Coturnix japonica: one gene and its partner. The protein of the gene in region 2 binds, or shares a complex with, the protein of the main gene of each other region. Links are inferred from orthologs where the notes say so. Each region holds a gene or a part of one and is shown on either strand. Other genes may lie near its edges.

Evidence for each region.
Region 1: POLE (region 2) and POLE4 share a complex: the UniProt entries of both Homo sapiens proteins name them as parts of the DNA polymerase epsilon complex. The link is inferred for Coturnix japonica from reciprocal best matches to the Homo sapiens genes POLE and POLE4.

What each region holds. Positions count from the first base shown.
Region 1 is NC_029543.1:373,471-377,175, reverse strand, and holds POLE4 (DNA polymerase epsilon subunit 4), read left to right. Parts: upstream 1-1,338; 5' UTR 1,339-1,355; coding exon 1,356-1,538; intron 1,539-1,674; coding exon 1,675-1,759; intron 1,760-1,866; coding exon 1,867-1,908; intron 1,909-2,367; coding exon 2,368-2,381; 3' UTR 2,382-2,933; downstream 2,934-3,705. Other genes in the region: PRAM1 (PML-RARA-regulated adapter molecule 1), read right to left, coding at 539-541. UniProt on the Homo sapiens protein: Accessory component of the DNA polymerase epsilon complex. Participates in DNA repair and in chromosomal DNA replication.
Region 2 is NC_029530.1:8,897,916-8,901,722, forward strand, and holds part of POLE (DNA polymerase epsilon catalytic subunit A), read right to left. Parts: coding exon 3,741-3,807; intron 3,621-3,740; coding exon 3,474-3,620; intron 3,329-3,473; coding exon 3,183-3,328; intron 2,893-3,182; coding exon 2,744-2,892; intron 2,373-2,743; coding exon 2,280-2,372; intron 1,997-2,279; coding exon 1,852-1,996; intron 1,712-1,851; coding exon 1,554-1,711; intron 714-1,553; coding exon 518-713; intron 385-517; coding exon 170-384; intron 1-169. UniProt on the Homo sapiens protein: Catalytic component of the DNA polymerase epsilon complex. Participates in chromosomal DNA replication.

The DNA of each region.
Region 1 (3,705 bases), on a different chromosome or scaffold from region 2:
TCCTCCCGGGATTTCGGTTCGTTTTGCTCTTGCATCACTTTGTTTTCTTTCACAACAGAACGGCCGGAGCGCAGAGAATCCAGCGCGACATTTTCAGCCGCGGGATCTCAAATGTGGGGCATTAAATAATGTGAAATTGGTGTTAAAAAGGGGCAGGTGCCCCCTGGTCCCGGGGCAGAACCCACGGGGGCTCAGCAGCGCACGTTGCCCACGTTCTGCACGGACGGCAGCGAAAAAACGGTGGAAAATGGGATTTGTGCTCGGAGGGCACCGAGGGCTCCAGCTGGGACCCGTCCCGGTGTTTGTGGCCGCTCCGTGAGCCGGGACGCGGAGCTGCCCGCGATGGCGCCGTCGGGGCAACGGCGCCGCTGTCACTGCGACCTGAGCAGCGTCTGGCACCGCGATGCTTTGTCCTGTCTGAGCCCACCCGGTGCTGACCCATCCCGGGAGCTGCTCGGGGGGCTCCGGAGCTGCCACTGCCCCCAGCCCGGTGCGGCTGTGACGATGTGCGGGTGCGGGTCGGACCATTCGCGCTCACCATTTCCCATCCACGGACGCGTCCTATGGGCTCTCCTCCCTCCTGAGAACCGTGCGGGCCGTCCGAGCCGAAGGAGCCGAAGGAGCCGAAGGAGTTGAAGGAGCTGAAGGGGCTGAAGGGGCTGCAGGAGCTGCAGGAGCTGCAGGAGCTCAGCCCGCCCGGCACTGAAAGCAGAAGCTGTTTCCTAACGTTGTGTTGGTGCGGGGCTGCGCGCAACGCCAGGAAGCGGCTGCGGCCTGAATGTGAGAGTGGGGGGGGGGGGAGGAGATGCTGCTGCCCCGTCCAGGAACCGACGTGGGCTCAGGGAGCGACCCCGGGCCGCAGCATCGGCACAGGAGGGATCGGGCCGGGGGGGAACGGGCTGAGCGGAGCCCCGTCCGTGTCCGTGGGTGATGGGGGGTTATGGGGACTGCGGGGCTGCGTTTGGGGCACAGGGGGGCGGAGAGCCGAATTTGGGGCACAGAGCGGAAGTTTGGGGCACAGCGGGGCCGGAGGGCGGGATGTGGGGCACAGAGCGGGTGGGGGGCGAGTTCGGGGGCGGCGGGAGGACGGAGAACCCGGCCGGGGATGCGGGAGGGGCCCGGTCCCGTGCGGGGCGCCCGGCTCCGCGGCACAGACAGACACAGCGCCCCCCAGCGGCACAGACAGACACAGCGCCCCCCAGCGGCACAGACAGACACAGCGCCCCCCAGCGGCACAGAGACACAGCGCCCCCCAGCGGCACAGAGACACAGCGCCCCCCAGCGGCACACAGCGATGACAGCCGGCGCTCCGCTCCGCCCCGCAGGCAGCACTCACTGCGCATGCGCGTTGCGGGATGGCGGCGGCGGCGGGGCCGGAGGCGGCGGCGGAAGATGCGGGAGGAGCGGGACCGGGAGCGGGACCCGGAGCGGCGCGTGGTGCCAGGCTGCCGCTGTCACGGGTGAAGGCGCTGGTGAAGGCGGACCCGGACGTCAGCCTGGCCAGCCACGAGGCCGTGTTCGTGCTGGCGCGGGCCGCGGTGAGCGGCGGGGGCGGGCGGGGCAACGCGGGGCAGTGCGGGGTAATGCGGGGCAGCCTCCGGTCCGTGCCGTTCTGTCCCGGTCTGTCCCGTTCCGTCCCGTTCCGTCCGTGTGACGCTCGTGCTCGCCCCGCAGGAGCTGTTCGTGGAGAACATCGCTAAGGACGCGTTTGTGTTCGCCCAGCAGGGGAAGAGGAAAACGCTGCAGAGGAAGGACCTGGGTACGGGGCGGAACCGGGGGGGGGGGTCCGAAGAGAAGAGAAACGTCCCAGCTCTTCCCGGTTGGCCCTTCTGTCTGTGTCGGCACTGAGCCCTTTTCCCTTTGCAGATAACGCCATTGAGGCTGTTGATGAGTTCGCTTTTCTGGAGGGTGAGTTTCGGTTTCCCCCATTAGTCCATAATCCCTTTCAAAGCAGCCCCGCATCCTCCTATATCCCTCCTATATCCCTCCTATATCCCTCCTATATCCTTCCTGTATCCCTCCTGCAGCCCCATGGTCTCACTATCTGGGTCTGTATCTGGGCCTTCCAGCCCCACACCCCACTTATAGCCCCCCCTATAACCCTACAGCCTCCTATAGCCCCCCCCACTGCTCCCTGTAGCCACATATTCCTCTATATCCCTGGTACAGCCCCCCATAGCCCCATGCCCCCCTGTTTCCCCCCCATACTCCCTTTATCTGGGCCTTTTAGCCCCACATCCCCATATAGCCCCCTCCATAGACCCACAGCTCCCTATAAACCCGAGTTCCAGCTGTTCTTGTAGCTGTGTTTCATTTTCCTTTCTGGTCCCTGAGGCTGCTTTGCTTCATCGTTGTTTTTGTTTCCAGGCACTTTGGACTGAGCTGCTCAGCAATGGGGTTCTGTGCAGATGGGTCGGCCGGCACCGGCTGCACTTCCCAGCAGTGGGACACCAATGTGGGCAGCCGCGGTGCTTTGTGTAACGACTGAGTGTCTGTAAGATCTTTGTTGAAAGCTTTTGTTGTAAGTATTTTGTAGGACTCTGACCTCCTTGTTCTGCTGCTGCTCCCCAGCCCTGCCCCCCCCCCAGGCACCATGGAGCAGAGCTGAGCTCCCGAGGCAGCTCCCTGTTGGTTTATCCCACCTGCTGGTCTGTAGATACATTATTGAAGTGGATGTTTTGGTCTCTGTGTGTTTTGTTGGGTTCCTTTTTGGCCAGTGCAATTAAAGGCGGAGCTGTTTTGAGTGGCTGTTCTGAGTGATGCTGCTCTGTGCTGCTCTGCTGTTCCTGTGGCACAGATGCAGTTTGGAAGGGATGCTCCGCTCCAGGCACACAGATGAGCTGCAGAGAGGCTCGTGTTGCTGTTAGGGCTGCATGGCTCCATCAAGTTCTGCGATGGTCACAGCTGGACAGTAATAAATCCCTGCTTTTGAAGGCGTTGCCTGCCGTGTTTCACTGCTCTTCTCCTTTGCTCTCATTGCTGAACCTGGCCCTTCTCCTGTGCGTGGATCTGCTGGGCTGTGCTGCAGCCCTCCCTGCCCTTGCCAAAGCACAGCGTGTGGCCCATGAGCTGTCCTGCTTTGGGCAGAGCTGCACGGTGCCTTCCTTGCCAGCAGGTTCCTTTTGCTGCCCTCGGGGCTGATTCAGGCCCATTGAGCACAGGGCCCATAGGGGTGCCTGGTTTTGTGTCTGATCTCTCCCTGCTGTGCTTTGCTGGGCAGCATCGCCTGCTCACAGCAGGTCAATCAGGGTTTGTCTTTGGGCTGAGCCCACGAGCAGAGGCTCAGGGATGCTGTGGGGTGTCCTGACAGGACAAAATGGGTCCCTTTGTTCACCGTGGGTCTGTGGCCTTTGGGAGCAGCTCTGGATTCAGTTACACATGCAGCTGTAAAGTGTTGGCCACTAAAGTGGTGCCAAAGTCACTTAGAGATGAGAACTGCAGCCTCAGTTGTCCCAGACAGAGCAAAACCTGCTGGGCTGAAGCAGAGCGGGGCCCTTCGGTGCTGCACTGAGTCAGAGGGAATGGAATGGCTGGTGGCATCCACCCCATGGGGGTCTGCAGGGACACACGGGCAGCCTCAAGTGCTCATTTCCAGGGCTGGGAGAATCCGTGCACCCCACAGGTGTGACAGGAAGGTGCAGTTGTCCCCGGGGTGGCTGATGGTGCCTCATTGGGTGATAACGGCCCAGCTGGGAAATGCCGACT
Region 2 (3,807 bases):
CAGAGCACCCCCGTTCCCATACTGTAGAGGTTTTCCCCTTCCCACCATGCAACAGCTGTACAGCATTACACCTTGCTGGCCTCAGCCACACAATACCCATCCACTCCTTGCTGCCACCCTGCCCTGCCCACATGCTGTCACAAGCCTCGGCCCTTCCAGACACGGGTACCTCTCAGTGACAGGAGAGCCCTCGGGTTTCTTTGAGATGATGAAGCGGCAGCTCAGCCCTGCATCCTTCACCATCTGGTCCCCCAGGAACTCTGCCAGGCGCTTGGCAGTGCTGATGGAGGTGGATTTCTGCTCCCCATAGTCCTCCAGCTTGCGAGACATGGAACGGTTCTCTGAGATGAGCTCAAACAGCTCCGAATCGGGCATGTTGGCAGCCTGAAGGCAGGGGGGAACAAATACACAGCAAGAGTTTGGTGATTTAACATCGCAGCATCCAACCAGCTCTTACACCTTCTTTTACACCACTTTAGGGATGCAGGGGGCAGCCAACCTGCAAAGCAATGTGTACCTTGCTGTACAGTACATCCAGCCAGTAGTCAGCCACCTTGGCCACAGAAGCATAGACCTCCTCCAGGGTGGTGCCTTTGAGGAAGGCCTCGAATACAGAAGACTGGAATATCTTCACCAGCTGCAGCTCACCTCGGCGCTTCACCTCAAAGCCCTTCAGCTCAGCCAGGGACCCATCTTCATTGAACACTGCATACCTGGGGTACATGGATTGTTTCATTTTGGGCTGTGAAAGCACAACAGTTTGTGCCCCAGTCCATCAGTACCAAGTGGGGGAATGTTCCAAACTGCACATCAGTAAAGGCCAGGAGGTGAGACAGGGTAAGGTGGGGGAGATGCAGGGGGAGATATCAGGAAGAGCTTTAGAGAAAAGAAGGAAGGTTCGTAAGCTTAGTGAAATGATTCAGAGGAAGCTGGATGTAGCTACTGATGAGGTTATAAGAATACGCTACCCTCCTCCCTTTCTTTGCTTATCCCTACCCTTTATTTGTATGCATGTCTCAAGATAAATCTTACAGAACACTCAGCTAACAGAATAGCAATGATACTCAAGCCCACGTTACTTTGACTGCCCAACTCATCAGTATGGATGCAGCCTTCTCTTCCTCCACCATTGATGGTGCCTACCAGTAAGCTTCAGGTTATTTCCATTTGAGCACAACCAAGGAATAAACTCCTTTGCCGACAACACCCAGAAACCACAGGGAATAAGGAGGCCCTGAGGAAGGGGCCCTGTGTACAGCATCCATTCAGTGCTTGGCATCAGTTTCATTCCTATGGCACAGACATGGCATGGAAAGGCACTGACAGGGGATGGCAGACGTTAGAACTTGTCTGATGTGCAGAGAGCACAGCCAGGCTGAGCATTTTAAGGACAGAGGGTCCTGGAGGATGGAAATGGCTTTTCTGAGTTCAGACCCAGGTCCACAGGCACCTCCATAGCTGGACATTGCTGGTGTTCCTACACAGGTTGCTGTGGAAAAGTCAGTGGTATTTGATGACAATCGCTTTCCTATATTTCAAGCTTTGAGTCCTACCTTTTCTTCAGCTTCTTTCCCTCCTCCTTGGAAGCTGGGAGGATCATGGCCAGGTATGGCCCATCCACTTCAAAGAAGATGCTGTTCTCTGAGCGTGTGATGTAGGTAAGAGAGGCTGGGTCCTGCAGCTCCTGGTACTGATCATTTGTGAAGCCTTCCTGCAGGCACAGCCCCAAAAGAACAGACTGACTCAACAGCTGGGCTGGTTCTACCAGGAGATACCACACTTTCTCTCCTTGTCAGTCCTCCATTCATTTCCCCAGACTGCAGAGCTGGCTGGGATGGGTGTGAGACTCACCTTCACCAGGATGTTCAGCATAGCACCTGGGTAAGAGATTGTCACCTTTGGCTTCTTGGCATTGGTTGACTTGATGACAAAGTTTTCTGGGAAGCTGTTGGGGAGGACGCACCAAATCCCATCTGTATCCAGTTCCAGAGGTCTCCTAAGGAAGATCACTCAGGAAATCAGAAGCTGATACCATATAACAGCTCTGCTGCTGCTTGTATGGGGGACACAGCCTCTTGCTTCACTATCCTGTCCCTTCTGCAAAGTGAGCCCTTGTAAGGCAGCAGAAAAACCACAACCACCAATGCCAGCAATCTGAATCTTCAACACGAAACACTTTCAGCATCTAATATGCTCCCATTGGTTCTATGCTCCACACTCAAACCCCACTCTCACTGTGTGCAGAAGAACCTTTCTTTCCCAGCTCAGCACATACTCACCCAATCTGCTCAATCAGTTCCCTGGCCTGTGTGATGATATTGGCCCCAGTGAAGCAGACGATCCCGGCCATTTCCATGGAGTACCATCGAGCTCTGGGAACAGAGGAGTCCAGGTGAAGGGGATGCAGTGCTACCCTGCAGCCAGCTATGGGAAAGGGCAGGAAGGCATCCAGAAGGAGAAGAGCAAGGAACAAGGCAGCACTGTGCCTTGGTAGATTGCTTTCCTTTCCTTCTTAATGGTTTTTTAGAGAATCTGAGAAAACACTGATAGAGAAGACTGCCGCCCCTTGCTGCTCAACACTACAGGTCTCAAAGATCAGAAGCCATTAATAGAAGCAAGAGAGAAGTGTTCCAGGGATCACCCATCCCTGTGCTATGGAAACAGGTGAAGCAAGTGGCAGCCTCCCCAAAACAATCCTGGGTGTTCTCTGGAGGACTCAGCAACAACGCCGGCTCAGACTCACCCTTTCCGCATGACATAGCCATAGAAAGAATTGAGAATGCATTTGTGTGCCAGCTGCAGGGAGTCGTAGAGGATCTCCATGTTCTTGCAGCGTTTCACTTCAGAGGCATCTCCTGTCTCCATGGCTGCAGACAGCTTCTTCTTCCACACCTGGGAGCAACAGGCAAAGTTGGAGAGGTGGTGGGTGCCCCGTCTTTGGAGACACCCAAGGTCATGTTGGGCCGGGCCCTGAGCACCTGATCAGCTGTAGGTGGCCCTGTTCATTGCAGAGGAGTTGGACATGATGGCCTTTAAAGGTCCCTTCTAACTCAAACCATTCTATGATTTCCCTACTCAGTACAAAGGCTGAACAAACCCATCCTTCAGTGCTCAGGCTTACAGCAGTTGGTGAGAACTCCCCATCCCCAGTAGGACAACGAAAGCAGGACTCAGCCCAATACCTTGTGCAGCCCCTTGAACTCATAGCGGCGGTCCCTGAAAGCTCGCACCGTGTCCACATAGAAGGAGTTCTCTCGTTGGCAGATGGTGGTGACCCTCTCCTCCACCTTGGTGACGTGGATCTTCTTGTAGGCTTTGCGGCAGTAATCTGCTCAAGGGCATAACAGGTTGTTTCTCAGTTGGTGCCCACCATGGATGGAGGAGGTGGACACACAGAGGGGGTGGACAGAACTGCATGAGGTTCTGGCTGAACAGCATTGATTTGTGCCTCAGCTCATGATATTAACTCTTACCTGCCAGCCGCTTCTTCTCATACTTGGCTTGTTCCTCTCGGGAGAGCTCGTGGAAAGCACGTGGTGCTCCATCAGGGAACAGTGGAGGGAACTTTTCTGACTCCAGCTGCTGCTGGATGCGGTGATACTCACTGCGGCTCGCAGGCACTGCAAGGAGGGCAACAGAGGAGAAGCAGGAATCAGCCTCAGCATCATCCAATGGGACAACAAGGTCTCTAGTGCACTCGGCCTCACTGAGTGGGACAGTGAGGTATCCGTTGTACTCACTGAATTCTCCTCTCCACTGCCACGTCATCCGGCGCTGGCAGTTGGCCCCTGGCTTGTTGAAGTCACA